Caenorhabditis elegans: one gene and its partners. The protein of the gene in region 2 binds, or shares a complex with, the protein of the main gene of each other region. Each region holds a gene or a part of one and is shown on either strand. Other genes may lie near its edges. The genes, in order: cic-1, rgr-1, mdt-21 and mdt-31.

Region 1 (10,594 bases), 7.0 Mb from region 2:
CTATTATTGACATTGTCATTAACAAGGTCACAATAATTATTTGTTCTTCACCAATTTTCGGCGGCGGCGCAAATAACAGAAAAAAGTAGGTCAAATTCATTTCGTCACCTTATATTCCGTTGGTTTCAATAAAACAGAAGAACACGAAGGGTTTCGTACTGATAAGATGTGATAGTACATAATAACATTAATAAGAAATAAATGTACTTTTGGGGGGGAATTTTAAAAAAAAATTGAAAAAAAAAAATTTTTTTTTTGAAAAAATTTTTTTGAGTTTTTTTTTTTTTAAAGTACCATAACTTTTCTCATTTTTAAGATTTTTTTTATAATTTTTAAAGCAGATTGTAGATAAATATTTTATTCAAATAAAAAGTTACAATCGTACTAAAAAAATGTTGAAAATTTCAAAAAATAAAATTTTTTTTGGAATAAAAAATTTTTAGAAAAAATCCTATAACTTTGCTCATTTTTAAGCTATAAAAATGTTTTTTTAAACAAAACAAAGAAAAATCTTCGCATTTTTATTGCATTAATTAAGACTTAAACAAAAATAGGTCGGAATTTCAAATTTTTGGGAAAAAATTCAACTTACCAAATCGTGACGCCGAAAATGGGTGAGAAGCTTCAAAAAGTTGGCATTCATATTGATGGACATGTTTATAGACGAAGAAATTGGCTGGAAATCTGAAAATTTGAAAAAAAAACATTTCGAACAAAAATTTTCTGAAAAAAAAATTTCGAAAAAAAAAATTTTTTTCGAAAATTTTAAATTTTTCCTAAAATCTCCAATATACTAATTAGCACCTAACAAAGCCAATTTCACACTTTAAAACTCCCCAAAAAGCTCCTTTATACGACTTTTTCCAGCCAATTTGTACCACTTTTCTATTTGCTCAGTGACTACAGCGTCAAAAAGGTCAAAAAGGTGCGAATTTCTTATCAAATGATGATTTCTGCTCAGTTTTGCAAACAAAATTGCCGGATTTTCATCCAAGAAATGGGTGACTGTGTCATATTGGATAGTTTTCACTAGCACCCCCGCCAGACTCCGCCTAGTTTCGGGAAAAAGTGAAAGTTCAAGTGGTCAGAGGGATTGGAGACGGGTGAAATGTAGTTGACATAAACCTAAAGCAAATTGGAAGCATTTTGACACAAAAATCATAAACTCATGAGAAACTCTGAAAAATGAGCCAAATTATTATTAATTATTGTGGCTTTGCAGAAAAATTTCGATTTGTCTCGGTTTTAATGGAATTTTTTGAATTTTAACACAGAAGAAGGATTTTGACTACGTTTTGTTGAATTTTTCACAAAAAAAAACTTCAAAACCCCCTCTAAACTAGCCATAATCCACCAGCTTTAAAAAATCGATTTAAACTACCGCGTAAAGACATACAACGACACTCCGGAATCCCGCAGGCGCGTGTTCTTTACCGTAAATCCACACTCCGAATTTATTCTTATTTATTCGAATTTTCATCGATTTCACTCAATTTCCACTGTTTTTCTCGATTTTTTCATTTTTTTAATGATTTTAGTTGAAAAATGGCTTTAAATTTCTGGAAAAGCAGTCATTGGTAAGTAAATCCCATTGAAAAACCCAAAAAAATCCCATTTTTTCCAGCCAACAATGGATTTTCGATAAAACCGAGATTTGGAAGCAACGCGCCGAGGATATGAAGATTTATAACGAGGAAGAGTACAATCGATTGAATATTTTCTGGGCGAATTGTAATTTTTCCTTACTTTTTCCTCGAAAAAATCGATAATTTTTGGTTTTTTTTCAGTTATAACCGCCGTCGCCACAGAAGGAGCCCACTCACAGGCAAATGTTGGATGTAAACTCCGTCAACAGGTTATTGCAACTGCGATTATCTATTTTAAGCGATTTTATCTAAGGTTTATTCGGAAAAAAATGATAAAAAACCTGGAAAAACGTCGAATTTTTCAGGCAATCGTTCCGTGACATGTGCCCATTCCTCGTAGCCTCTACAGCATTATTTTTAGCGTGTAAAGTTGAAGAACACACTACGTTGAGCGTCTCAAGCTTTCTGAAAAATACAGCTATCGTTTGTGCGTTTTTACGACGGAAAAATTGCAAAAAATTGGCAGAAAAACGCGGAAATCCGGCTGAAAATTGGAAAATTTAGTGAAAAATAGGCTTTTGAACCGAAAAAACACCCGGAAAAAACATCAATTTTTCACTTAAAAACCGCTGAAATCCAAATTTTTCAGCTAGAAACTCTAAAAATCACCTCAATAACCAAAAAAAAAAAACAGTTTTTGAGTCAAGTTTTGTCTCAAAAAAATTTGAAATTCCACTCTTGCAGCTCATTTTCCGCTTATTAATCCAAAAAATCGCCTGAAAATCGATTTTTAAGCTGAAAAACTCGAAAAACTCGAAAAATTTGCCTCTTTTTCACTCAAAAATTCGATGCTTTCCTAAAAACGCCAAAAATAAAAAAATTACGGCCAATTTTCAGAAAAATTTAATTAAAAAAACTAAAAACGCCCAACTTACCAGAAAAAAACCCGTTTTAGTCCAAAAAATCGCCTAAAAATCAAATTTTCCACTTAAAAATTCGATTTTTCTGTTAAAAACGGTTAAAAGTTCAGGAAATACCCATAAAGACCCGTTTTAGTCCTAATATTCGTCTAAAAATCGTTTTTTGTGTGGAAAAATCGGATTTTGTCAATTTTTAACCTGAAAAATTCGATTTTTCGCTAAAAACGCCGAAAATTTCAAAAATTCGATAAAAAACTCGTTTTCACTTCAAAAAAATTGCCTGAAAATCTATTTTCGACAGAAAAAACCAAAATTTATCAATTTTCCACTCAAAAATTCATCTTTTTTTTGCTAAAAAAACCAAAAACTTAAGAAAATTTAATTAAAAACCCGGTTTACTTCAAAAAATCGCCTTAAATCAATTTTACCCTCAAAAATTCAATTTTTCTGTTAAAAACGCCAGAAATTGTAAAAAATTCGACCAAAAATGCGTTTTAGTCCAAAAATCCACCTGAAAATCAAATTTTCCACTAAAAAATTCAATTTTTCTGCGGAAAACGCCGAAATGTTCAGAAAATATTCATAAAATACCCCTTTTTAGTCCTAAAATCCGTCTAAAATGTAATTTTTCTGCTAAAAACGCTAAAAATCACAGAAAATTAGAATAAAAACCTCTTCTTAGGCCAAAAAATGGCCTAAAAATCAAATTTTCTAATCAAAAATTCAATTTTTCTTTTAAAAAACCAGTTTTTCAGCAGAAACAACAGAATTTTGTCAATTTTCCACTCAAAAATTCAATGTTTATGCTAAAAAATACCCAAAATTTCGAAAAATTCTATTAAAAACGCGTTTTACTTCAAAAAATCGCCAAAAAATCAAATCTCCCACTCAAAAATTCAATTTTTCTACTAAAAACGTCAAAAATTCGATAAAAAACCCGTTTTAGTCCAAAAATTCGTCTAAAACTCAATTTTTTCTACTAAAAATGCAAAAAATTTCAAAAAATTCGAAAAAAACCCGCCTGAAAACCAATTTTCCCCTCAAAAATTCGATTTTTCTGCTAGAAATTCTAAAAATTTCGAAAAATTCTATTAAAAACGCGTTTTACTTCAAAAAATCGCCAAAAAATCAAATTTCCCACTAAAAAATTAATTTTTCTACTAAAAACGTCAAAAATTCGATAAAAAACCCGTTGTAGTCCAAAAATTCGTCTAAAAATCAATTTTTCTCTCAAAAATTCAATTTTTTCTACTAAAAATGCAAAAAATTTCAAAAAATTCGGGAAAAAACCCCGTTGTACTCCAAAAAATCCGCCTGAAAACCAATTTTCCGCTAAAAAATTCAATTTTTCTACTAAAAATGCAAAAAATTTCAAAAAATTCGGGAAAAAACCCCGTTGTACTCCAAAAAATCCGCCTGAAAACCAATTTTCCGCTAAAAAATTCAATTTTTCTACTAAAAAACCCATAAATTGTCCGAAAAAACGCGTTTTACTTCAAAAAATCGCCAAAAAATCAAATCTCCCACTCAAAAATTCAATTTTTCTACTAAAAACGTCAAAAATTCGATAAAAAACCCGTTTTAGTCCAAAAAATCGCCTAAAAATCAAATTTTCCCCTCAAAAATTCAAATTTCGCGCCCCTAAATCCCTTCATTTTTCAGTGCCAAAACGATGGGGAGTGACATTTGAGACGACATCGACAAAAAATGGAGTTGTCTACGATTCCGAGTTTATTCTCGTTGAAATTCTTGATTGTTGCCTTGTTGTACATCATGCATCACGTCCAATGTTTGAATTATTAGAAGATTTGAAACAATTTACTCAACAATCAACTATTGCTAATCAACCTATTAAAGGTGCCCCCCCCCCCCCCCCCGGGAAATTTTTGATAAAAACTGTGAAAAATTGGAGAAATTGCGATTTTTCCAGGAAAAATTGGGAAAAAAATCGATAAAAATTGGAAAAATTTGAATTTTTTGAGAAAAAAAAAGGAAATATCTGAAATTTTTTAGGGAACAGTGGAATTTTTTTGATTTTTTTTTTGAATTTTTTGGTGAAAAAAATGGAAAATTGTGGAATTTTTAGTGAAAAATTGGAAAATTTTGAATTTTTCAGTAAAAAAGTGGAAAATTTGGAAAATTTTGAATTTTTAATGAAAAAATGGAAAATTTTGGAATTTTTAGTGAAAAATTGGAAAAATTAAATTTTTTAGCGAAAAATTCGATTTTTAAGTGAAAAATCTAATTTTTTTAGTTAAAAATTGGAAAATTTTGAATTTTTAGAGAAAAAAAAAGGAAATATCTGAAATTTTTTAGGGAACAGTGGAATTTTTTTGATTTTTTTTTTGAATTTTTTGGTGAAAAATTGAAAAAAAATTGGAATTTTTGGGTGAAAAATTTGGAAAAATTTGAATAATTAGGGGAAAATTGGAAAAAATTGGAATTTTTTAGTGAAAAATTGAAAAAATTAGAAATTTTGAATTTTTTTAATGAAAAAATGGAAAATTTTGGAATTTTTAGTGAAAAATTGGAAACATCGAATTTTTTTTGAATTTCTTAGTGAAAAATTGGATTTTTTAAGTGAAAAATCTAATTTTTTAGTTAAAAATTGGAAATTTTTGAATTTTTTGAGAAAAAAAAGGAAATATCTGAAATTTTTTAGGGAACAGTGGAATTTTTTTGATTTTTTTTTTGAATTTTTTGATGAAAAATTGAAAAAAATTGGGATTTTTTCGTGAAAAATTGGAAAATTTTGAATTTTTCAGTAAAAAAGTGGAAAATTTGCAATTCAATTTTTGAAGAAAATTTGATTTTCCCCTACAAAAAATATGCCAAAAATTAGGAAACCTCAATTTTTTCGAAGAATTTTTCGGAATTTTTTTCTTAAAAATTTAAAATGTTTTTAAAACAAAACTGAATTTTCACAAAAAAAATCCTAATTTTTCACGAAAAAATTCCAATTTTTTTTTCAATTTTTCACCAAAAAATTCAAAAAAAAAATCAAAAAAATTCCACTGTTCCCTAAAAAATTTCAGATATTTCCTTTTTTTTCTCTAAAAATTCAAAATTTTCCAATTTTTAACTAAAAAATTAGATTTTTCACTTAAAAAATCCAATTTTTCACTAAGAAATTCAAAAAAAAATCCATTTGTCCAATTTTTCACTAAAAATTCCAAAATTTTCCATTTTTTCATTAAAAAAATTCAAAATTTCTAATTTTTTCAATTTTTCACTAAAAAATTCAAATTTTCAAAAAAAAATTCCAATTTTTCACTAAAAAATCGAATTTTTCCAATTTTTCACTAAATATTTAAATTTTTCCAAATTTTCCACTTTTTTACTGAAAAATTCAAAAATTTCCAATTTTTTTCAATTTTTCACCAAAAAATTCAAAAAAAAAAAATCAAAAAAATTCCACTGTTCCCTAAAAAATTTCAGAAATTTCCTTTTTTTTTTCTCAAAAAATTCAAATTTTTCCAATTTTTTCAATTTTTCCCAAAATCATTCAAAATTTTCCAATTTTTAACTTAAAAATTAGATTTTTCACTTAAAAAATCCAATTTTTCACTAAAAAATTCAAAAAAAATTCGATTTTTCCAATTTTTCACTAAAAATTCAAAATTTTCCAATCTTTCACTAAAAAATTCGATTTTTCCAATTTTTCACTAAAAATTCCAAAATTTTCCATTTTTTCATTAAAAAATTCAAAATTTCTAATTTTTTCAATTTTTCACTAAAAAATCCAATTTTTCACCAAAAAATTCAAAAAAAATTCGATTTTTCCAATTTTTCACTAAAAAATCCAAAATTTTCCATTTTTTCATTAAAAAATTCAAAATTTCTAATTTTTTCAATTTTTCACTAAAAAATCCAATTTTTCACCAAAAAATTCAAAAAAATTCGATTTTTCCAATTTTTCACTAAATAATCCAAAATTTTCCAATCTTTCACTAAAAAATTCGATTTTTCCAATTTTTCACTAAAAATTCCAAAATTTTCCATTTTTTCATTAAAAAATTCAAAATTTCTAATTTTTTCAATTTTTCACTAAAAAATCCAATTTTTCACCAAAAAATTCAAAAAAAATTCGATTTTTCCAATTTTTCACTAAAAAATCCAATTTTTCACCAAAAAATTCAAAAAAATTCGATTTTTCCAATTTTTCACTAAATAATCCAAAATTTTCCATTTTTTCATTAAAAAATTCAAAATTTCTAATTTTTTCAATTTTTCACTAAAAAATCCAATTTTTCACCAAAAAACCTCCATTTTTTTGCAGATCTGGAAGCAATTGAAGCTCAATGTCAAAAAGTGGCAAATGATTCGCTAAGATGTGATGTTTCATTGATTTTTCCACCACATGTCATTGGATTATCAAGTATTATGGTTGCAATGGAATTAATGGGCCGTGGAGAAGAATTGGAAGCTTGGCTTGTCGAAGTTGACACTGATTTTGAAAAGGTCTCGGATTTCTACCGGAAAATTGAGATTTCCCGTGAAATTCTACCCAATACTCGAGAAATTTGCCAATTTTTAGAGAATTTGCAAGAAAATCCAGCAAATTCCGCGAAAATAGACAATTTTTTAAGCATTTTTAGCCGAAAAAAAGTTGGTGGCCTAACTTTTTTACTTTCTAGGCCACCAATAGGAATTTTCGAACATTTTTCTTTAAATGTGGAAAACCCCGAGTTTTTTAACCCATTTTGCCAATTTTCAGCCGAAAAATGATGGTGGCCTAACTTTTTGCAATTTCTAGGCCACCAATCGGAATTAAGGGAATTTTTGTGATTTTAGAAAGTCAAGAACGGAAACTTTGACATTTTTGGCATTTTCTTGAAAATTGAACTCAAAAATTGCAAAAACCTGAATTTTTGTGCAATTTGAGCTGGAAAATCCCCGAAAATCGATGCTTCTGTGATTTTCAGTGAAAAAAAACTGAAAAATCGAATTTTTCGGACCTTTTTACCCATGTGGCCGAGTTTTTTGGCTGATGGCCGAACTTTTGTAATTTCTAGGCCACCGATTGGGAATAAGGTCATTTTTTGAACTTTAACGTTTTTTTTTGTGTTTTTTACTGAATTTTTGATTAAAAAAATCGAGTTCTCTGCAAAATTTGAACCCAAAAACTAATTGGTAGCCGAACTTTTTGGTTTTCTAGGCCACGTGTCAAATTAATTTTCAAAAACTGGAATATTGCCCACTTTTTGGCCAACAAACCGAATTTTTAGTCGAAAAATCGGATTCTCGGTGGTTTTTGGAATTTGGTGGCCGAACTCTTTTGATTTCCTAGGCCACCAATCCGAAAACTCTGAGTTTTCGTTCAAATTTTGAAATTTTCGACGGTTTTTTTCGGCGGAGAATCGCTTTTTAATCGAACTCTGCATCTAAAACCGAATTCTATTCAGTTTTTGAATTTAAAATCAATTGGTGGCCCGAAATTGGATTTCTAGGCCACCAAATTTCTGAGCATTTTCCCCTGTGACTTTTGTGCCTCTACTCGTATTGTTTGCAGTAAAAATTGTATTTATTCACATTTTCAGTCATAAATTGGCTGAAAATGTGAATAAATACCGTATTTCTGCCAACAATTTGACAATAGAGCACATTTGTCACTCGGAGATGCGGAAGCTATGCCCAAATTTTCATTTTTCCCGGAAACTTTGGATTTTTATGATTTTTTTTCCAGGTAACCGACTGCGTTGAGCAAATCTACAAAATGTACACACTTTGGAAGTCATTTGATGAGAAAGAAGAAGTGAAGAAGTTGATGGCGAAATTGCCGAAACCGAATCAGCAACCGCCCCCGCAACAGCAGCATCAGCACCAGCAGGGATATCATTTGTAGAATTTTCTGGAAATTTTTTGTATTTATCGATTTTTTACTGTATTTTTTGTAAATATTTCCCAATAAAACTATTCCTTGAATTTTTCTAACATTTGCACCGATTTTCACAGATTTCCATTGCGAAATTCGAGCTCCCCGTCACTTTTTACGCCTAAACTCAAATTTCCAGGCGTTTGGCACTAAAACTCGCAAAGTTGTGCATTTTGTCGTAAGCTCTGCGGTGTTTGCGTACTTTTGGAGCTACCGTACCCCTCGAAATCCAAATTTTAAGCTAGAAACCTAGAAAAATGCTTGCCAGGAGTCAAATTACATGGAGAATCCGATTTTGATATTGATTTTTTGAAATTTTCAGTTTTAAGGCGTCGATTCTCAGATTCTTGAGGTTTTCCAACATTTGCACCGATTTTTACAGATTTCCATTGCGAAATTCGAGTTTTCCGCCACTTTTCATCCCAGAACCCAAATTTTCAGGCGTTTGCCACTAAAACTCGCAAAGTTGTGCATTTCGTCGTAAACTCCGCAGTGTTTGCGGACTTTTGGGGCTACCGTACCCTTCGAAATTCAAAATTTGAGTTAGAAACTTAGAAAAATGCTTCCCAGGGGTAAAATTACATGGAGAATCCGATTTTGATAATGATTTTTTGAAATTTTCAGTTTTAAGGTGCCAATTTTCAGATTTTTGAGGTTTTTGAACACTTTCAATTTTTTTCAGATTTTTGTCACGAAATTCGAGTTCACCACCACTTTTTACGCTTGTACCCAAATTTTCAGCCGTCTGGCGCTGAAATTCGCAAAGTTGTGCATTTTGTCGTGAGCTCTGCGGTGTTTGCGTACTTTTGGAGCTACCGTACCTCAAATTTTATGCTAAGTTTCTAAAAAATGCTTCCCAGGTGTGAAAATTGATGGGAAACTCGAATTTCGTATTAGTTTTCCGAAAAAATTAGTTTTAGGTTTCGAAAACACGAGCATTCGTGATGAGACCTGTTAAACCCGAATTTTGAGCAAGTACGCGGAGGCTAGTCAATATGGGACTCATTTTGAAGGGCTCAATAAGCTGAATTCAATTTTTTATGTGTGAAAAGCAGAAAATTGAGCAATTTTGAAAAAATTGGAATAATTTGTTAATAATTTTTTTGCAATATTTTTTTTTCGAATGTAAGCTTTTGTACATCTAAAACATCAAAACACAGTAGATTTTCTAAATTTTTTAAAAGAAAAAAAGCTTCTAAAAAACAAAGGGGAAATTCGAACAAATGTACGACGTAAAAGTATCGGATTTCTCTTGAAAATGAGTTAAAGCTCACTAGACCATGAAAAATGTTGTAAACGGCTTCCTGGCAAAAAGAAATTAGGTTTTTTGGCACATTTTTGGATTTGGGATTTGAAAAAAAAAAATTTTTTTAATTTTTTTTTAATTAAAAAAACAATTTTTTTTTGAAAATTTTTTTTTTTGAAAATTTTTTTTTCGAGATTTGTTTCAAAGTTTTTTGGCAATTTTTTCAGTTTCCAAATGAGCTTCATTTACGCTATAATAACCAAAAATGTTCGAGGAAAATAATAAGAAAATCCGCTGAAAAAATAAAAAATTTGGCCAATTTTCAAAAAAAAAGTGTTTTTTCTGTCAAAAATGAGTATTTTTTGTATTTTTTTTTTCACTTCATATTCAAATTTTTATTTAAATTTTTTGAAAACTATATATGCATCGTATTAAAAAAAAAAGTGTTTTAAGGAACAAAAAACAATCAAAAAATAATTAAAAATATTTTTTATCGAAAAAGTGGAATTTCAAGTCTTTAAACTCACATTTTTCAGATTTCCATGCCAAATTTGAATTCTCATTTTAATTTTACATCTAAAACATTTTTTTCCAAGCTTCTAGCTCAAATTTTGAATTTCGAGGGTTACGGTAGCCCCAAAAGTACGCAGACACCTGATTTCACGACAAAATGCACAATTTTGCCAAACTTGCTAGCTAAGCTTTGAAAAAACGAGGTTTAGTGCAAAAAATGACAAGAAGTTGGTGATATTTTCTTCAAAAACTTGCGGAAAATTGAGAAAATTCGGATTTCGAAAAATCTCCAAGTTTCAGTTTTAAAGCTAAAATTTTAGAATTTTATTTATAAATTTGAATTCCTTTTTATTTTTTGCGCCAGATACACGGTTTTTTCTAAATTTCTAGCACAAAAACGGCATTTCCAGGGGTACGGTAGCCCCAAAAGTACGCAGACACCTGATCTCACGAC
Region 2 (7,870 bases):
ACATCATTGAATGTGGATTCCAACGTGGCTTCTGATGCCAATCGATTTCTGTCGAATTGAATTGACGATGCGGCATTGATTGACCAAAATTTAAGAAGAAGAAATCTTCAGAGGATCCAGGAGCTTGGGACTTTACATTAAATGCAAGGATCATCAGCATATCTCTATTGTCACCATAAGAAACCACCAATTTATGGAATGTATACGCTTCAATCTGAAAGAAACCACTTTTTTTCGAATTTAAATATATGTTTGTAGTAAAAAAATGATTTAGAAAAGCCTAAAACAATTTTGAAAAATTCTAGAAACTTCTACATAGAAAAAAACAGTTTTGATTTTGAGAAAAATCTCCACTTAATTAGAATTTTTTTTTAAACAAAATATTGCAACTTTAAAAAAAAATTCTTCTCAAAAAAAACATACATTACAATAATTTTTGAAATGTTTTTCATATGCCAACGAGAATTGATGGACAACTTTGTACATGTACAGATATCGCATCAATCTATGGATGATTAATTCAACTAGCTTTTCTGGCGAAGATTGATTGATATGATTGAGCTCCTGCAGCCACGTGGCATCCTGAAAGAAGTTGTGATGGAGAAGGACAAGCGACAATTTATTTGGAAATTCTATTCCAAAAAAAAAGCAAGGCAGTAAAATGCTGTGATTTTTGTGATTGGTATATGATATTGAGGCAGGTGAGTTTAGTGAATGAGTGTGTGAATAAGTTATATTTGTTTGCGAAAATTAATAAAATAAAAAAAAAAGTTTAATGGTGCTATTTAACTTCAACATTTTCACCTAGAATTCATTCATTTAAGACAAAAACCAATAAATTTATTCCCGAGCAATTTCACATGCAGAAAAAAATATGTATGCATAAGTGGTTCATGCAAATGTTTTCGGAAGTAATAATCAAGAGTTTCGATTTTTCGATTTTTTTTAAATCTATAATTTTGGTTTTTCGAGATTTCGTTGTTAGGATAATTCGCTCATTTTTCTGATTTTTTTTGTAGAAAATTACATGTTTTCATATGTTTTTTCTCATCAAAATAAACTAAATAAATTTTTTTAAAAACATGTTAGTTTCCTGAAAGATTAAAAAAAAATTATCCGTAAAAATAGTCAAGAAACCAAAATTTTGCGGGAAAAAAACTTGAAAATTAGTATAAAAAATAGATTAACTCGAAAGTACGTAAATTATCCAAATCGAGTATTAAGATATGTATAATTTTAATAAATTAAAAAGCGTAAATTCTATTTTCTGGGAAATTTTCTTGGAAAAACCACTTGAATTGAATTTTTTCTTTAAAATGTTTTCCTGTTTCCGAATGAAAATTTCGGAAAACTTGATTCAAAATTTTGCAAGAATCGGGAATTATTGCAAAAAAAATCAAGAAATCGATATTCTCAGTGAGGAAACATAAATGGTTAGACAAGAAGCATGCAAAAGCAACATATCATGCACAATCCGAAGCAATAAAACTAACCTTACTGGTGCGATCTTTCTGAAATCAAAAACTAATATTTAAATGTGTCATCACAGGAAATTCTATTTTCTAAAAGCTAGGATAGATACCAAAACCGAAAAAGTAGAATAAATATATTTTTAAAAAAAACTGCATTCTCATCTGTTCTAATATTCTAAGAACGACAACAATACGACACCGATCATAATTCGGGCGGCACGGCAATCTTTTCTGAGAATTTAAGTTAAAATTAAATAAGAAATGACGTACCGGTTCACCATCCCGACGATGTGGGAGACCATGCGGTACGTCTCGAACCAATGGAATATTTTCAAAGCACATTTCGAATTGGAATGTGTAGCGATTTCGATTATCGAGACGAAGGCAGCATCTGATACAACATTCAAAGAATTCGCTTGCCTCGAATGGAACAACATTTTTCACACTGAAAATTACAAGATTTTTAAAAATTGTTTCGGACGAAATAAAATTTGTCTGAAAAAGTCAATTTTTTCAATTTTCTCAATTTGTTTTCAAATCATGAATACTGGCAGTATTACATTTTAAGACTGGCGGAAAATGTTTAAAGATGAAGTATTTAGCGAGATTGGGGATTTTGTTTCAAAAATTCAAAATAATGTCAAATTCAGAAAAATAAAACCACAAAAGAAAAAAGAAAAACAAATTGTGAAAGAATAAAAAATCAAACTCTCAAAACTTGGATGAAATTCAAACCGAGAATTCAGTCAATATTGAAAAATTTCTGAAGCGATTTTTTCGTTTGTCTTTTGTGATATTTCTGAACTTGAGACTATTTCGAACCTTAGAATTTTTTCTTGACGCTGCTGCTCAATTTTTAATATAAGTGCTCGAAATCTAGAAAAAAACTTACTCCGTGATATGTAGAGCAAGCCCTCCTGGAACGTGTGCTGAATCTTTTCTCACATCAACTCCAATTCCCTTTTTCATTAATTCAGCCGCCAGATACATGTACGTGATCCGATCTTCTACAGTAGCCACTGCAAATGCAAGTCTCTGCTCTCTCGAACACTCTTCTTGAAGTGATGTTTTATGAGATGGCGAGAAACGCATCGTTCCTTGATTAATCGCTTCTTTTACATGCATTCCATTCATCTCATCATCCTCCAACTGAATGAACTGAGCTCGGTCTCCAACAACTTCCAAAAGTTGAATGTGAGTCTTAACAACTGCTTTTTCATCGGGAGAGAATGTGACAAGCAGATAATAGTCTTCAGATCGAAGGAACTGAAGAATAATTCGTTGGGCAGGAGCATCACCAAGACATTCCTTTGCAAATGGAAGAAGCTCAGCTTCTTGAACTTCACGAACTGGAAGAGCTTTCACTGATCGTCGATATCGTTCTATCACGAGGGCGACACGAAGTTTTCTAAGATACATTTGAATTGTGTGCGCTGAACATTGACTACTGTAGAGAGCTTTTCCAAAAGCCAGGACATCTTCGTGTTCAGCACCTGAAATATGAATAAGTTTATTTCTTTTATAATTTTGGTAAAAAATAGAGTATTTTTTTAAAATTAATATGCTGGAATTTGAAACGACACAACTCACTGAGAATGTGAACGTTGCAGAGCACTTTTCCACAGAATGAATTCACAGATACCGTCATCATTTCATCCTTTGAAGAGGTATCCGGTAGGAGAGCAAGAGAAAGTGACGGTGCAGAGATTCCAGTCATCTTCACTTCTAATCTTGGTTCAGCAGCTTCAAGGATTCTTCTCAACCGCATCAATCGTTCCTTACATCTGACCACATATGTTTCTGATAATAGTCGATCAATTGACAACATTCCAGCTCCAGAATCAAGTCGTCCGAGCTGAGGAGCATGAGGGAAATGACGAACTTTAAGTCCACCTAGCTTGTCATTTGGATCTTCATAGATCTGAACTCTGTATTGTGCATCACATTTGACTTGTCCTACAGTTAATCTTCGACTCTTCGATCTTTTAACCCAGTATCCAACTACCAAAACTCGTTCTTTTGGGTCATACTTTTCGATTGTAATGTTATCACGTAACCTTCCAGCTGCCAATCTTGAAGTTTGACAAAACAAAACATCCAATTGTAGTGAAACACAGAAACTGTGCAAAAAGGAGAAAGCTTCTTTAATAGGATTTAAGGAAACATTCATCCGAGATTGCAGTACTCCATGAAGCTGATTAAGCTGTAATGGATGTACAAGAGGAAGTCCCATTCCAAGTTCGTAGTCTTCCACGAGAATTTTGATATTCAATAGAGTCCACTTTGTCATTTCTGTTTCACCGAGCAATGTAATCTTGATTTCAAACTCTCCAGGAACCAGTAAAGTTGCAAGTCCATTGTTGATGTGAATTTCTTTTATATTTGGTGGGATTCCGCTTGAAAGTCGAGAAAGCCGACTTTCAATGAGCTGATTTAATCGGGAAGTGACGAGTTTCTGTTCTCTCGGTGTGATCTTTGCTGGAGGAATGAAAGCTTCTTTGATTTTCGATGGCATTCGATTATACGTTCCTAATACAAGAACATCAATAGCTGGCGCAATATGGTATTCTGGAAGACGAGCTAATTCGAGATCTCCCCTAGTCATTGCGACTAATCGATCGGCCGTGTCGATGAAATATTGTGATTGGAGATCGAGAAGGTAGTCGATAGACTGGAAAATTAATGTTTTTTTTTCGATCGAAATCGAGCGAATTAAGCTTACATAACAAACATCCATTCGCTTCGAAATCCGTATCCATTTTACTAATGCTACAAGTTTCAAAAATTGACTGCGAGTAGCGTGTGCAAAATGTACAAGAGACATTTTCCGCTCCTGCTCTCCTTGATCATTTGTCTTCCGCTGCATCAATTCCGCAAGAACTGTGATCTCGTGGTAAACATGTTGAATTGCAAAGTCTAATAGAACATTTAGAGGTATCGTCGGAGGGCCACAATTTGCAGGAACTTCTGGTAAGGGATTTTGCGCTGGTTCTGGAAATTATAGAAAATAAATATCTTCCTTGTTCTACTGCAGCATACCATCTTCGCTATCCGATGAATGAATCGATTTTACATCGACTTCGGAGAGATGTGCCGTTTGTTCCTGAGAAGAATGTACATCGCGGTCTGAAATTCCAGACGACTCATCGAGTGACAAGGCCGAGCCAGATGGAGCCGGTGATATTGGAGCAGCCGGCGAATTATCCGCCAGTGCGGCTCGGAGTTGGGAAGACAGTTTCTGCGAAATACATATTTATTTGAAGAATACACAATATACGGTCTGGGAAGCGACACATTTACAAATTTAAAGTTTATTTACATGTTTCGAATAGTTTTAATCAAACTATAACATTCAAATTGTACAAATATGCATAAAATTAAACAATAAACAGTATTTAATTTATTTTTGAAAATTTGTTTGCAAACTCCACTGAGTGTGCAAATGCGCGTGATGGTGTACTTGCGTACATCGGCAACACATTTGACGACATATCAGAAAGCGGCGCTAAATTAGAAGTTGAGAGCGCGCGAAAAAACAACGCGTTAACCGCCAAGTTTCACTTCCCCACAGAGATTCTCGAGTCATTGTTCAAGTTTATTTGTTTTTCAGCGGTTGTTTTATTGAAAAATTGTAAAATTTTAAACAAAATGTGTAATAGTCTATTAAACCTCGTGAGATATTTGAAGAAACTTTCCCCGTTTTAAATATTTCGTGTATTCGTGCAGATCCGCGTGAAATTTTTGTCTGTTTGCGTAAAATTCCTCTATTTTTTTATTTTTGCTCGCAATTTTCGATTTATTTCAGAAGTTTCCACATTCGCAAAACGAATGGACGTCTCTTATTATGATGGCCCTAAGGATGAAGTCATCGAAGCAATGCTGAAAAGCGCGGTGACGGCCATGAAATTGGGACAATACGAGGATGGAAAAGGACGCTTAGAGGACACAATGGAGTTCGGAACCTCCAATTTTCAACTGCTTGGTACAATCTACATGTATTACGGAAGAGTGTGCAGGCATTTGAACCACGACGCCAAGGCCTTGGAGTTTTTCGAACATGAGTTGAACATGTTCAAGTAAGTGAATTAAACGGAAATGGGCTGGGCATTCTATAACTTTAATTTTTCAGATTGATCTTCAACTACCCAGAAGCATGTGATTCCACACGTCGCATCGTCCAGCAGGCACTCAAAATGGAAAAGTTCTCCAAGGCTCGACGGTTTGCTGAGGATCTCATTGATTACACCAGCAATAAGAAGAACGGAGAGAAGTATATCGGTCAAGCTCGAATTTTGTTCGCTTCCGTGTGCCTCGAAGGATGTGAAAGAGACGTCGAGAGTAATCAAGATGAGAAGAAGAAGCTTTTGTCAATATGTGCTGAACAGATTGCAGCCGTGAAATTGTTCAACGAGAATAATACGGAAGGAGCTGTGTCTGAGACCAAAATTATGCTAATTGAGGCGAAATGCTTGTCACTCGACGAAAAATACGAGGAATCGCGTCGCAAGTATCAAGAATGCATCGATTTTGCCATCAAAACAGACCAGTTTGAAGCAGTTCACATCGCCTATTACGACAAGGCTCTCTATGCTGAGACATATCTTCTTTTCTTTATTATCAGAGATCTCAGGTAATTTTTAGTTTTAACGATTAATAAAAATGTCAATTCTATTTTTACAGAAGTGCTCTCTTCTACGCCACGAAATTCGGAAAAGAGCGAGATGTAGTCAAATATAAGTCGAAGCTATCCGAAGAGATGCTGAGAAATGGCGAATTCCACGAAGCATATCTCTACGGATTGGAAGCGCTTGTATCGATTCGGAAGCTTGGATTGAACGAACACATTGGAGATGTGTTGCTTACAATCGCAAAGTGTCTCATTGCACTTGGAAAAAGACGCCAAGCTGCTTATTTTATCATCTTGGGGAGTGTTCTGACCATCAACCAAAGCAGTTTCAAACTGTTCTACGAGCAGATCGACGTGGCGATGAATCAAGAGAGAAGCGAAACGGCAACTGATCAAGATGCATGCCTCGCAATTGATTCGTCTCCTGATCCGACATCCTCGAATGACATGATTAATAAGTTCGTCGTCAAACTGGAGCACGCAACAAATGTTGAAACCTGGGAAATGATTGTCAACGGAATCATTGAAGACCAGAAGAAACCAGTAGCGATCGAAAAGAAAGAGAACGAGGAACCCGTAGACATGATGGATCTCATTTTCAGTATGAGCTCGCGTATGGATGATCAGAGAACTGAACTGTCTGCTGCCAGATTCATTCCGCGTAAGAAATATTACAAATAAGCGTAAATGTATGCAAATTTATATTTTTCCAGCTCGTCCAGTGTCATCGGCATCGAAAAAGACTACAAAGAGCCACAGAATTCTCCCTGGACTCCGTGCCAATTGGACAAAAGTGCAGTCGATGAAGTTCGATGGTCACACAATGAATAGGATCCTGAAGAGGTCGAAGAAAAGCAAATCGTCATTGGATTCTACAAATTCGATACAGGGCGATGATACTCGAAGCGATGATGTGACAATGACGTCCAAATAGGACCATTATTTTTTCTGTCAAATAATACAATCAAACTTTATTTATTTTTTACTTTCTTTAAGTAAATGTTATTATTATTTTAGTGGTTGTTCTTTATTATAATTTTATTTTATTTGATGGTCAGTAAAGCTAATTTTTTTCAATTAGCGATATCCGTCAAGTCATACTTTTATAGAACTTTGTTATTCTCTCTGAACTTCCCCACGTGCCCTCCCAACGTCATTTCAAAAGCTCATGGTTAGTGACCTCGGAATCCGGAAGATATCGAAAGTAAAGAGACGCAGAGAGATGGAGACTGCCAGCGTCCGAGGGAACGAGCGCCATTCTCCTGCATCCTTTCGTATTCTTCAGTTTTTAGGCGAAACCTAGACCCGAAATGATTTATGTTTTTTCTCCTATTAAAAATACTTTTGAGCGGCTAAATATGATATTACTTGAAATACGTGAACAATTTTTTTGAACGCTCAAATCTCCGACATTGGAGGGCGTAAAGTTTGCAATTCTTAAAACTGTCGTATCGGGTTACCTTTTCTTTTCTCTGACACACTTTTCTTTATTTTTTCATTCAATTGCGTTAGTCTTTTCCTTCTATAAATACTTTTCTTTCAAAAAATATCAGAATCTTGATGGGAAAATGCTCTTCCCATCATATTTGGTCATTTTCGCTGACCGTCTTATCAATAGAAACACGAAATTTCGGAGTATAAGAAGTGTGGTAATCGGTCAGCTTAAAAGAAAATTTGTTTTAGGTAAATATAAACGCGTGATTCCACTGAAAACATGTAATTTGGAGGCGGTGCTCTTTGAATTATGCCTACGCTCTTTACCCAACATTGT
Region 3 (4,626 bases), 2.4 Mb from region 2:
GCCAATTTTCATTTCAAAAATTCGATTTTTCCTAGAAAACCACCTAAAAAGTCGCAAAAAACGAGGATTTTCAGGTTTTTAACGCAAAAAATCCAATTTGCTCCGATTTTCCCGAGAAAAAAACCCTAAAATTTCAATTTTTGCAGGAAGGCGACCCAGTGTCATGTTTTTAGCCAATTTTCGTTTAAAAATCCGATTTTTCATCCAAAACCACCAAAAAAAGTCGAAAAAAAAATAATTTTTCCTTGAAAAATTCAATTTTTTCCGATTTTTTCAAATTTTCAGATGTTTTTAGCCAATTTAAATGCTATTTTTCATTAAAAAAAACCCATAAAATTTTCAATTTTTTCAGGAAGGCGATCCAGTAACCTCCCATTTGCTTCCATCTGGCAGAGTTCCAATTGGTCACGTATTCCTTCGCGGTGACAACGGCCCAGTTTCAACAGATTCCAGACATTTCGGCCCGGTACCTGAAGCCCTTGTTCAGATAAGGCTCAGCCTGAGAATATGGCCTCCAGAGAGAGCCGGATGGATTTCTGATCATTGGTTTTGGGATAAAAGTGATAGAAATGCAGAGAAATAGGCTTCTTTTTCAGTGTAATTATGTGCTTTTCCACCCTTTTTTCCTGGTTTTTGTCTCACTTTTTTTTTTGCCATAAAATACTATTTTTCCATGTTTTTCTACTTCCATTTTCTATTTTTTTAATGGGTTTTAACCCTATTTTTACCTGAAAAAAACACTTTTACAGCAAAAATTCCATGAAAACTATCAATTTGAAGCCAAAAATCCAATTTTTCATCAGAAAACTCTCTAAAAAGTCGCTAGAAAACTAGAATTTTTGGTTTTCAGCGCAAAAAAAATTCAATTTTTAATTGAAAATTAAAAAAAAAATTAATTTTACTCATTTTTTATTCATTTTTATCCGATTTTCAGAGCCTTTCGACCAACTTTTCATCAGAAAACTACCAAAAAAGTATCAGAAAGTATGGATTTTCAACGCAAAAAATTTAGATTTCCATGGTAAAAAGTTGAAAAAAAAAATCGATTTTCACTCCATTTTAATTCATTTTTATCCGATTTTCTCGAATTTTCAGAGTTTTAGCCAAGTTTCGTCTAAACAATTCAAACGTCTACTAGAAAACCTCCTAAAAAGTACCAAAAAACGCACAAAATCCGGTTTTTTATTAGAAAAATACCTTAAAAATCGCAGAAAATAAGGATTTTTTTTAGTTTTTCAACTCAAAAAAATCAATTTTTCTTGGTAAAAATTTGAAGAAAAAAAATAATTTTTATCCGATTTTCTCAAATATTCAAAGTTTTTTAGCCAATTATCTTCAAAAAATTCAAATTTCTACTAGTAAATTCCTAAAAAGTTCCAAAAAACGCATAAAATCCGGTTTTTTATCAGAAAAATACCTTAAAAATCGCAGAAAATAAGGATTTTTAGGTTTTCAACTCAAAAAAATCAATTTTTAATGGAAAAAATTTGAAAAAAAAAATGAATTTTCACTCCATTTTAATGCATTTTTATCTGATTTTCTCGAATTTTCAGAGGATTTCGACCAATTTTTATACGAAAATTCCAATTTTTTATTAAAAACTACATTTCAAGCTCATTTTCAGCCCAAAAACTCTTGAAAATGGCTGATCGAATGACCCAACTACAGGATATGATTAACGAAATGGCCGGATTAATGACAAATGCGATTGGAGTGCTCCAGGCGACTGCTCCGCCATGTGAATTTGGAGCAATTTCACAGGAGCTTGAGGATGAGCCAAATTGCGCGATTTTTGCCGCTGGAATTGCAAAAGCCGCTAAAAATATTGAGGTTTTCTATAGAATTGAGCATTTTTCGGCCAAATTTTCAGAAAATCCTAAGCAAAAAGCTTCAGAAAAGCTGTTTTTCTCGTTTTTCAAACTATTTTTAGCCTGTTTTAACTCAAAAAATTCCAGAAAATTCCAGGAAACCCTAATTTTTATTCAAAAAATTACAAAAAAATCCTCATTTTTACCCGACAAAAATTTAAAATTTGTATTTTTCTATTTTTTTTAACTGAAAATTAGATTTTTTTTTGAAATTTTTGTGAAAAGTGGATTTTTTTTTAATTTTGAGTTTTTTTTAGTTTTAAATTAAATTTTTTTCGGCTGAAAATGAGGATTTTTGTAATTTTTGAAAATTATTGTTTCCTGGAATATAAAATAGTTTGAAAAACGAGAAAAACTGCTTTTCTGAAGCTTTTTGCTTAGGATTTTCTGAAAATTTGGCTGAAAAAATTAATTTTACAATATTCAGCCAAAAAATTTCAGAAAAATTCAATTTTCGGGTGAAAATTTGAAAAAAATTGTGAAAATTCGATTTTCCGGGTGAAAAATGAAGAAAAATCGAAATTTTTCTTTAAAAAAATTCAAAAATCCACATTTTTAGCCGAAAAAAAAAATTAATTTAAAATTTAAAAAAACTCAAAATTAAAAAAAATCCACTTTCCACAAAAGTTTCAGTAAAATTAATTTTCAGCCAAAAAAGTACAGAAAAATCCAATTTTTATTGAAAATTTTAAGCAAATTCTCATTTTTGCCGAAAAAATCGTGATTTCTACCCAAAAAACAGCAAAAAAAATCCAATTTTCTGTCGAAAAATTCAATTTTCGGGTTAAAATTTGAAAAAAATTGTGAAAATTCGATTTTCCGGGTGAAAAATAGAACAAAATTAATAATTTTCTTGAAAAAAATCTCAAAAAAATCGAATTTTAGGTCGAAATTCTTTTGAAAATTCGATTTTCTGGGTGAAAAATGGCTAAAAATCGAAAAAATTCAATTTCCAGCTTAAAATTTCGGGAAAAAACCAATTAAATAATTTTCAGATCCTCATCGACTCATTCCCAATCGAAGCGGGCAACCAGGAAGCGGAAGTCGAGGAGAAAATGATAAAAAACGACGAAAAGCAGCGAGAAAAAGTGAATGAGCTCGTCGGACTCGTCGGCGACAGCAATCGGCTCGTCGGAGTTGTTCAGAAGAAGCTTGCCGAGATTTCAAAGACACAAATGAGCTCGAGACCCAGTGAATAATTATTATATTTTGCCGATTTTTGCCGATTTTTTATTGTAATTTTCATCATTTTTCCATTATTTTGGGCCGATTTTCTGGTAAATTGAGAAAAAAAAATCAATTTTCTAGTCCATTTCCTCTTGACAATTCTTTAAAATCCAGAAAAAATTGCCTAATTTGCTGTGAAAATTTCAATTTCATATCGATTTTCATGTTTTTTTTCCATGTTTTCAGCCGATTTCCATTTTTTTTTGTGATTTTTCCTTAATTTTTCGATTTTAAATCAACTTTTTTTCCATTTAAAATCGATTTTTCATCCCTTTTTGCCCCTGAAAATAGTTAAATTCTAATTAATTTTCCCCTATTTTTCTTGAAATTTTCGATTTTTCTCATTTAAAATCGATTTCCACCACTTTAAATAATTAGAAATTCCCAGAGAAAATTGATTTTCATAGCAAAAAATTATTTTGGGCCGATTTTCCCGGAAAATTGAGAATTCTAAATCAATTTTCTAGTCCATTTCCTCTTGAAAATTCCTTAAAATCCAGAAAAAATTTTGCCTAATTTTCCGTGAAAATTTCAATTTCATATAAACTTTCATGACTTTCTATTAAAATTGGGATTTTTCCCATTTAAAATCGATTTTTCAACCCTTTAAAATATGTCAATTTTAATTTATTTTCATTCATTTTTTCCCATTCAAAATTGATTTTCTACCCTTTTTTCTACTGAAAATTTGCTAAATTTGAAAAATTGTGGGTAATTTATCTTTTTTTTTTTAAATTTTTTTCCTCAAAAATAATCATTTTTAATTCAATTTTCCCCCATTTTTCTAGAAAGTTGCCAATTTTTCCCCATTGAAAATCGATTTCCACCACTTTAAATAATTAGAAATTCCCAGAGAAAATCGATTTTTTTTCAAATTTTTCCCTTGAAAATTCCAAAATTTCTTAAATTTCGAAAAACTGTGATCTCTTTTTCTTTTTATTTAATTTTTAACTGTTTTCTGTATTTTTGCCCATTTTTTACACTTTTCCCCCAGAATTTGGGTATTTTTAAATTTAAAATTTGATTTTTTTTTTAAATTTAATACTCCTCATTTTCCTATTCTATTGGCAAAAACCATGGTTTTTTATCTGAAATTCTCTTAAATCTAGCCTAAAACCCTAGCAAAACCACTTCCAGATGGCCCAGAGCACACAAGAAGCAGAAGGAGAGCAACAGAGGCGACAAGCTGTGCTCCGGGAGCGATATTTGAGCTTTTTGCAGGTGAAAATTGGACATTTCATCTACAAAACCTCTCAAAAAATCGATATTTTTGGTGAAAATCTGAAAAATTCAGCGAAAATTTTGAAAAAAGCCACCGATTTTCTCATTTTTCAAGTCTAAAAACTGAAAATTTTCCAAAAATCCCAATTTTTGTGCCATTTTTCCCCGAAAATTCTCGAAAAATTCCAGAAATCCGCCGACAAGCCAGCCACCATCGAAATGTGCGAACGAACTACGGTCACCGCCACAATTAAAGCATTTCAACCGTCTTCGGAGCACGTGATCGTCGGTACGGTGGCCGTGGCCTAGG
Region 4 (6,355 bases), on a different chromosome or scaffold from region 2:
TATATGCCACCATATTTTAAAGATGATAATAACATGTACCCACCAATGAGCTCAGAGGCTCGCGAAAAGCAAGTCTTAAAATGGTTCGACCCAATGATGAAAGAGGAGAAAAAATGGACACCATCTGAAATAAAAACACTCCGGACATCTGTTAAAAACGCATTGGTGGCTCATCAGGTTCAACCGTGGTGTTCTAGACGAGATATCGTTGCCTCAAAACTTCGAGACGCTGATATCACTACATCGAATTTCGATCGACGTCAATGGACTATGGAGCTGGAAGATTTGATGAGAAAAATTGCCTATGTTCGAGAAAAAAGTGAAGAAGAAGTATTGACTGCTTCGGCTGATTATACCGTTGTTCCATGGACTGCAATAGCCAACTTCGACGTATGTTTAAACTTTCATTAATTCAAAAACTTCCTGTTTGTGAAGTTTAATTAAATAAAACTATTATTTCAGTTCAAAGGCTCTAGAACGGAATGGGCGGTGAAATCGAAATGGTACAATGAATTGAATCCAAAGTGGAACAAAGAACATTGGTCAAATGAAGAAGTAGAAAAGCTGAAATACCTTCGAGAAAGTCCAAAGTTTGTCTCCTGGCCGATGCTGGCTCTGAATCTCGGTACAAATCGAACATCTTATCAATGTATGGAAAAGTACAAAACCGAAGTGTCTCAACATTCAAAGTGAGAAGCTCGTTTTCAAAATGTGTGTAATTTTGAATATTTCAGAGAATGGTCTCAAGACGAAGACACCAAGTTAATTGCGCTCACAAAAATTACATCGATCAACGGACATATTCAATGGGATAAAGTTGCACAATGTATGCCTGGAAGAACTCGTCAACAAGTCAGAACTAGATTCTCGCATACTCTCGATGCATCGGTTAAGCATGGAAGATGGACTGATCAAGAAGATGTGGTATGTATAATTAATGTAAATTAGCAGTAAAAACATCATTCCACGATTATTGTGTGTTGGAAATTTAAAACATTCATATTTAGATTTAAATTTTAAGCAATTAACAAACATATCGTTTAGCTTCTTGTCTGTGCAGTTTCACGATATGGAGCAAAAGATTGGGCAAAAGTTGCTCAGGCGGTGCAAAATCGTAACGATTCTCAATGCCGCGAACGCTGGACGAATGTGTTGAATCGTTCAGCTCATGTCAACGAACGGTTCACGCTGGTTGAAGACGAACAACTTTTGTATGCGGTAAAAGTATTTGGAAAAGGAAATTGGGCTAAATGTCAGATGCTCTTGCCAAAAAAGACATCGAGACAGTTGAGAAGACGATATTTGCAGTTAATTGCAGCCAAGTTGAGAGTGAGTTTTTTGGTTTTATTGTGAAAAATCTTTTTAAAAATTCACTTAAATAAAAGCAATGATTAATAAAAATTTCAGTTGGCTGCCGGATTCTGCAACGCGGTCGATGCCATGAAATCCGGAAGACGTGCTCCTGAAGAGGACGAGCTGGAGCAAGAAGATATTGTGGAAGCGGAGCAGATTCCAAATGAACTCATGAAAGAAGTTTATGAGAAATTCGCCAACGAAAATCCGGATATGAATGAGACTCCCGAAGAATTTTACAAACGTGTATCTGCCTTGGAGAGACCAGTAAGATCAAAAATAAATTTTTTAAAACTCATATTTTTATTATTACTATTATTATTATTATTATTGCAGGCCGCCGCTAGAATTCGAGCTCTGAAGAATAAGCCGGATTATCAAAAAATCCAAGATAAAATCAACGAAATTGTTCAAAAGCACAAAAATGCAGCCGAAATCGACAAAGAACTACACTCCAGTGAAATTCTCTCATCGCTCACAATCACGGAAGTGTTAGTTGAAAACCAAAAAAAAAACACCATATTTTAATTACATTTTGTTTTTCAGTGATGTTCGTTACATGATAGAAAGAAGCAAGACTTTGACGCGTTACTACGAGGCTCGACAGTTTAGAAAGGTAAATTAATTGTACAGAATATTAACCCATTGAAAAATGTTCAGAACGTGGATCAAATCGGATGTCGTGTTCGTCCGATTAAGATCGATTTGGATCCAGAAACAATGCCAACATTTGATCCAAATGATGCTGAAGATGAAAAGCAAATGGTCATTGTGGAGTCGTTGTGCTCTGTAATTCGTGCTCACGACGTAAAAGAATGGGGCACTAAGTTTTGGAATGAACATCGCTTCACAGCGCCGAAATACGCTAAAAGATTTGTGGAGAATGTGAGTCAGAATAGAGAAAATAAAGTTTAATGAAAATTCACATTAAAATTCTCACAGATGGTCATAAACAAGTCAAAAGAAGTCGCTGAATGGTATTTACATGTTAACTCAAAGTCATGCAATCAAAATGATGTACATTGCCCAGCCAAGTCAACTCTTCCTCCGACTGCTGCATCATTCGATCTTCACAAAATGCTTCAAAAAGCCCGTTCTGGATTGAATCGTCTTTCTGCTGAACACTTTTACCCTCTTGATGTCTCTCTGGCTCAACAATTCAACTTCAAAAACGACGAGAGAGAGGGCCTCGACGGAGACAGACGTATGCATATCGGGTTGTCTGATGAGGTCACCAATAGTAAAGAGTATGCGAATTTTTATGTAAGTGAATATATTATATTCTTATTTTTATTTTTGATAATTTTTCAGGCTCGAATGCGTTCGATTCTTCTCGAACCAATGCGTCTTGGAATTGCTCGTGAATCGTCGTCTGATGAAACCAAGCGGCTTGTGCGCTGTCTTGCAGAGGAACGCGCCTGCGATGAAGAACAACAAGTTACCTGTGACCAAATAAGACGACGCCGGATGCCTGATGACGAGATCTATGTTACTCCAACTTCAATCTCTAGAGAACTAAATGTAAAGTTTTTTGCGTTGTCTCCACTGCTAGACGTTGTTTTTTTTCAGAACGGCATGAAAATCGATACCACCGAGTTGTTGGCTAATCTGGACAAGAATTCTGCGAAGAAAATCAGAATGAAAAGGAAGATTGGAGAGGTGAGATGTGACACTAAAATTAAACTTTTACCCCTAGTAATCCTTGCGGTACTATTATCTATATTTTTCTCATAGTCCTCAATGAAACAGTATATTTTTCAGACCGTTGCGACAGTTGCAGCGCGTCCTGCTCGTCCACCGCGTTCATCTGCAGGTACACCCACTCCAAGTCACGTCTCGATCGATACGGAGAGTAATATTTCGCTCAAAGTGGAGTTAGATTGAATATTCTATTATTGAACAATATAACTATTTTACCCAACTCTATGTCATCCTCTCCTGTGCAGTTTTACATCACTTTTTTAAACTGAACCCATTAAAAGTTGATCTCCTAAGATTATTTCACTTTTGTTTTATTAACAATCTCAGCTCTTTATGAACACCATCTGTTAAATTTGTTTTTCTTTTTCTAATAAAATGGTTTTATAGGCATGGGTCGTTTTAGTTTCAATCGATACGGTATGTTTCCATTGGAATAATATATTTAACTCATTTCGTAGTACGGATTTCACCGTATAGGTGAAAAAAGGTCATAATATCAAAATTTTGTAAATTTCTGTAATTTTTCGAAGCTTGAATTCCATTTTTTTTTCTTCAGGCTACAATACAATGCAGATGGAGAGTGTAGAAAGTGAAAAGACGAGATTTGAAGTTGAATGTGAATTCGTGCAGGCTCTTGCAAATCCAAATTATCTTAATTGTGAGTTTATTCACATACACTAGCCGAGAATAGAGAAAAACGTATTTTTATTCTAAGTTTCTTGTTTTTTTATGCACTCTTTTTCCTGCAAATTTCATATTTTCCAGTTCTCGCGCAACGTGGTTATTTCAAAGAAGAATATTTTGTCAACTATCTCAAATATCTTCTCTATTGGAAAGATCCTCAATATGCCAGATGCTTGAAATTTCCTCAATGTCTGCACATGCTTGAAGCACTGCAGAGTCAGCAATTTCGCGATTCGATGGCTTACGGTAGTTCAAATTTTATTTAATCTATCAGAAGAATAGTAACTTATTTTCAGGACCAAGCGCGAAATTCGTAGAAGATCAAGTGGTTCTCCAATGGCAGTTTTATCTTCGGAAACGGCATCGTTTGTGTATGATGCCTGATGAGGGACAAGAGCTTGAAGAATCTGAAGATGAAGCTGATATTCGACAAAAGGACACAGAGGATGAAGATGATGAGGAAACGATGAAGAAACCGGATGCTGACACAGCCGAAAAGAATTCCACAACTTCTACCGTTTCAAAGAAAGAAAAATAAACATAAAAAATGTAAATCAAATAAAACTTCATCACCACTTTATTGAAATTGAAACCTACATTTTACAGAACCGTGAATTTTTTCGAAGCCTGGACAGAAATCAGAGAATATTTGGAAAGTTAGGTTAAGATTTTACTTTCTATTCGAAAATCTTGTATTGGGAACAATTGTAACGTCGTTGACAAATGTCTGATTACGGAAAGCTGTTGTCTCGAGTAGAGTAGAGTCGTCGTTGCTGCATATCTCTTTCTTCTTCCGGCTTGTAGCAGCACGGAATTCAGTTGTAGAAGTGAAAAAATTGATGAAGAAACTACGATAAGAAGCAGCGAACAGATCACGGTCCTCGGGCTTGATAGCGGGGAATCCAACTGGAACAGCACGAAGAACTTCTTCATCGGAAAATTGGAAAGATGTGAAGTCATGACCATCGATTAGTTGATGCTGTCCTGTGCGAACTTCTAGCCTAAATAATTTCAAATGTAATACCATTTCATCTGTATTCAAATTAACAATCGAAGTCTGGTTCGCATGGTTTCTTCACCCCAAACGACATGCACAAAGAATTTGGCTCCAGGAAGAATACGTCGCTGGAATGAGGATGTTGTTGAGGCTGTCGAAAGCGAAGACGATGTACGAAAATTGTTTTCATCGTGAAGATCAATATAAGATGAGTCGATGCGAATGTCAACACGCTTATCCGATTTTTTCTTTACAATGAAACCGGGTGCAGGAAAGAAAGCTACACATCCGTCTGGAAGCTGTCGCATCGCTGAGTCGAACACTTTAATCATCGCAAAGCCGTCTCTGAAAGAAATTGTTATGTAAGCGTCGTCTATTTAGCCTACCTTGTTCCTGCAGAGTTGCTGATCTTAAAAGAGATTCGTTTTGCGCATGAGGTGCACATTGCATACTCTGACTGATTTATAGTTTGTTGCAAATCTGGCGAAGTGGGCACGAACTTCGCAATTCCACCATTACCCCACATCGGAATCTGAAGAAAACATAACTTTATTATGGCTTTTGAAAAATGTATCGAATATGTTTCATAGTCAAACATAGGCAAACACACACATGTGCTTGACACGATGACATCCAATTCCATCAAATTTTTGAAAAACATACCTTATGTATAAAATTTTGTGCCGGTACTTCGATACTCATAATAACTTGATAACGTCCGACAGAACTAGGAGAAAAGGATACTTGAAACTTGATACTCTTTTTTGGATCAACCATAGTTAGCTTGTTGTCAAGGATTTGATAAACTGGTGTGGTACTATCCGTACTGGCTCGAACAAGACACTGACGATCGGAAATGTTTTCCACTTCGACTTCAACTCTCAATGTCTCGCCGACTGCAACACAACCGAATGCCACGCGTTTAGCATGAATTCGCAATGGCTTTGATACTCCAGAAAATGTGGATCCTGCATATACCGTCGAGGTCGAAGAAGCACGGGACATTGTGCGCACCGAACTGACCGAATCCCGTCCATCGCGTCCATGGGACAGTGAAACATTGCCATTATTGGCCGGAATGACGGTAGAGACGGATGTGTTCGAAAAACCACCACCATGATTACGAGATGAACGACTAATATCCGTCCTTGCAGTGGAGATTGTGCTCAAGATACTCGTCATGCTTGCTGTATTAGAATTAGTGGCATCTGCCATTGATGCATTCTGCCTAAAAGTCTCCATCGCTTTTCGGCTCGTCGTCAAATCTTTGGATGATGCTGCAGTTGTGTTGTCGTTGGACGTCGAGGATACGACATTTCCAGAATGTCGTGCAGATGTTGGCTTTATAGGAACACGAGTTCGCGTAGTGTTTCTGAAAGAAAAAATTATAAAACTGAATTTAAAAACGCACTAACTTTTTCAACTTAAATAAACATAATATTACTTAAACCGCGATTTTACGAATTTCAGGAAAAAAACTATACTTTTGTATAACGTTACAAATTGTTTTTCGGAATGCTTACATTCTGAAATCTGGCTTCGACGGTTGAGCAGCTCTTCTTTTACGAGCTTCTTCTAATGCTGCGAACAGATCTTGATTCTTATTGTTTCCATTGAGCA

Evidence for each region.
Region 1: rgr-1 (region 2) and cic-1 share a complex: the UniProt entries of both Caenorhabditis elegans proteins name them as parts of the mediator complex.
Region 3: rgr-1 (region 2) and mdt-21 share a complex: the UniProt entries of both Caenorhabditis elegans proteins name them as parts of the mediator complex.
Region 4: rgr-1 (region 2) and mdt-31 share a complex: the UniProt entries of both Caenorhabditis elegans proteins name them as parts of the mediator complex.

What each region holds. Positions count from the first base shown.
Region 1 is NC_003281.10:2,392,160-2,402,753, reverse strand, and holds cic-1 (Cyclin-C), read left to right. Parts: upstream 1-1,532; 5' UTR 1,533-1,545; coding exon 1,546-1,577; intron 1,578-1,624; coding exon 1,625-1,731; intron 1,732-1,787; coding exon 1,788-1,899; intron 1,900-1,951; coding exon 1,952-2,073; intron 2,074-4,168; coding exon 4,169-4,363; intron 4,364-6,785; coding exon 6,786-6,967; intron 6,968-7,097; exon of another isoform or gene 7,098-7,147; intron 7,148-8,192; coding exon 8,193-8,351; 3' UTR 8,352-8,429; downstream 8,430-10,594. Other genes in the region: Sterol 4-C-methyltransferase strm-1, read right to left, coding at 593-655. UniProt on the Caenorhabditis elegans protein: Component of the Mediator complex, a coactivator involved in regulated gene transcription of nearly all RNA polymerase II-dependent genes.
Region 2 is NC_003281.10:9,390,572-9,398,441, reverse strand, and holds the start of rgr-1 (Mediator of RNA polymerase II transcription subunit 14), read right to left. Parts: upstream 4,339-7,870; coding exon 4,195-4,338; intron 4,144-4,194; coding exon 3,063-4,143; intron 2,966-3,062; coding exon 2,365-2,965; intron 1,918-2,364; coding exon 1,743-1,917; intron 1,512-1,742; coding exon 1,494-1,511; intron 583-1,493; coding exon 424-582; intron 215-423; coding exon 1-214. Other genes in the region: gpr-2 (G-protein regulator 2), read left to right, coding at 5,301-5,548, 5,602-6,102, 6,153-6,760, 6,813-7,033. UniProt on the Caenorhabditis elegans protein: Component of the Mediator complex, a coactivator involved in the regulated transcription of nearly all RNA polymerase II-dependent genes.
Region 3 is NC_003281.10:11,776,003-11,780,628, forward strand, and holds mdt-21 (Mediator of RNA polymerase II transcription subunit 21), read left to right. Parts: upstream 1-1,618; 5' UTR 1,619-1,641; coding exon 1,642-1,830; intron 1,831-2,863; coding exon 2,864-3,067; 3' UTR 3,068-4,126; downstream 4,127-4,626. Other genes in the region: immp-1 (Peptidase S26 domain-containing protein), read left to right, coding at 353-583; C24H11.5 (Gem-associated protein 7), read left to right, coding at 4,233-4,316, 4,506-4,605. UniProt on the Caenorhabditis elegans protein: Component of the Mediator complex, a coactivator involved in the regulated transcription of nearly all RNA polymerase II-dependent genes.
Region 4 is NC_003279.8:8,962,687-8,969,041, forward strand, and holds mdt-31 (Mediator of RNA polymerase II transcription subunit 31), read left to right. Parts: upstream 1-3,427; 5' UTR 3,428-3,443; coding exon 3,444-3,471; intron 3,472-3,610; coding exon 3,611-3,712; intron 3,713-3,819; coding exon 3,820-3,984; intron 3,985-4,034; coding exon 4,035-4,276; 3' UTR 4,277-4,315; downstream 4,316-6,355. Other genes in the region: snpc-4 (snRNA-activating protein complex subunit 4 homolog), read left to right, coding at 1-390, 463-689, 735-924, 1,045-1,329, 1,408-1,620, 1,690-1,844, 1,900-1,969, 2,014-2,238 and 4 more; spd-2 (Spindle-defective protein 2), read right to left, coding at 4,409-4,739, 4,787-5,080, 5,122-5,267, 5,399-6,107, 6,259-6,355. UniProt on the Caenorhabditis elegans protein: Component of the Mediator complex, a coactivator involved in the regulated transcription of nearly all RNA polymerase II-dependent genes.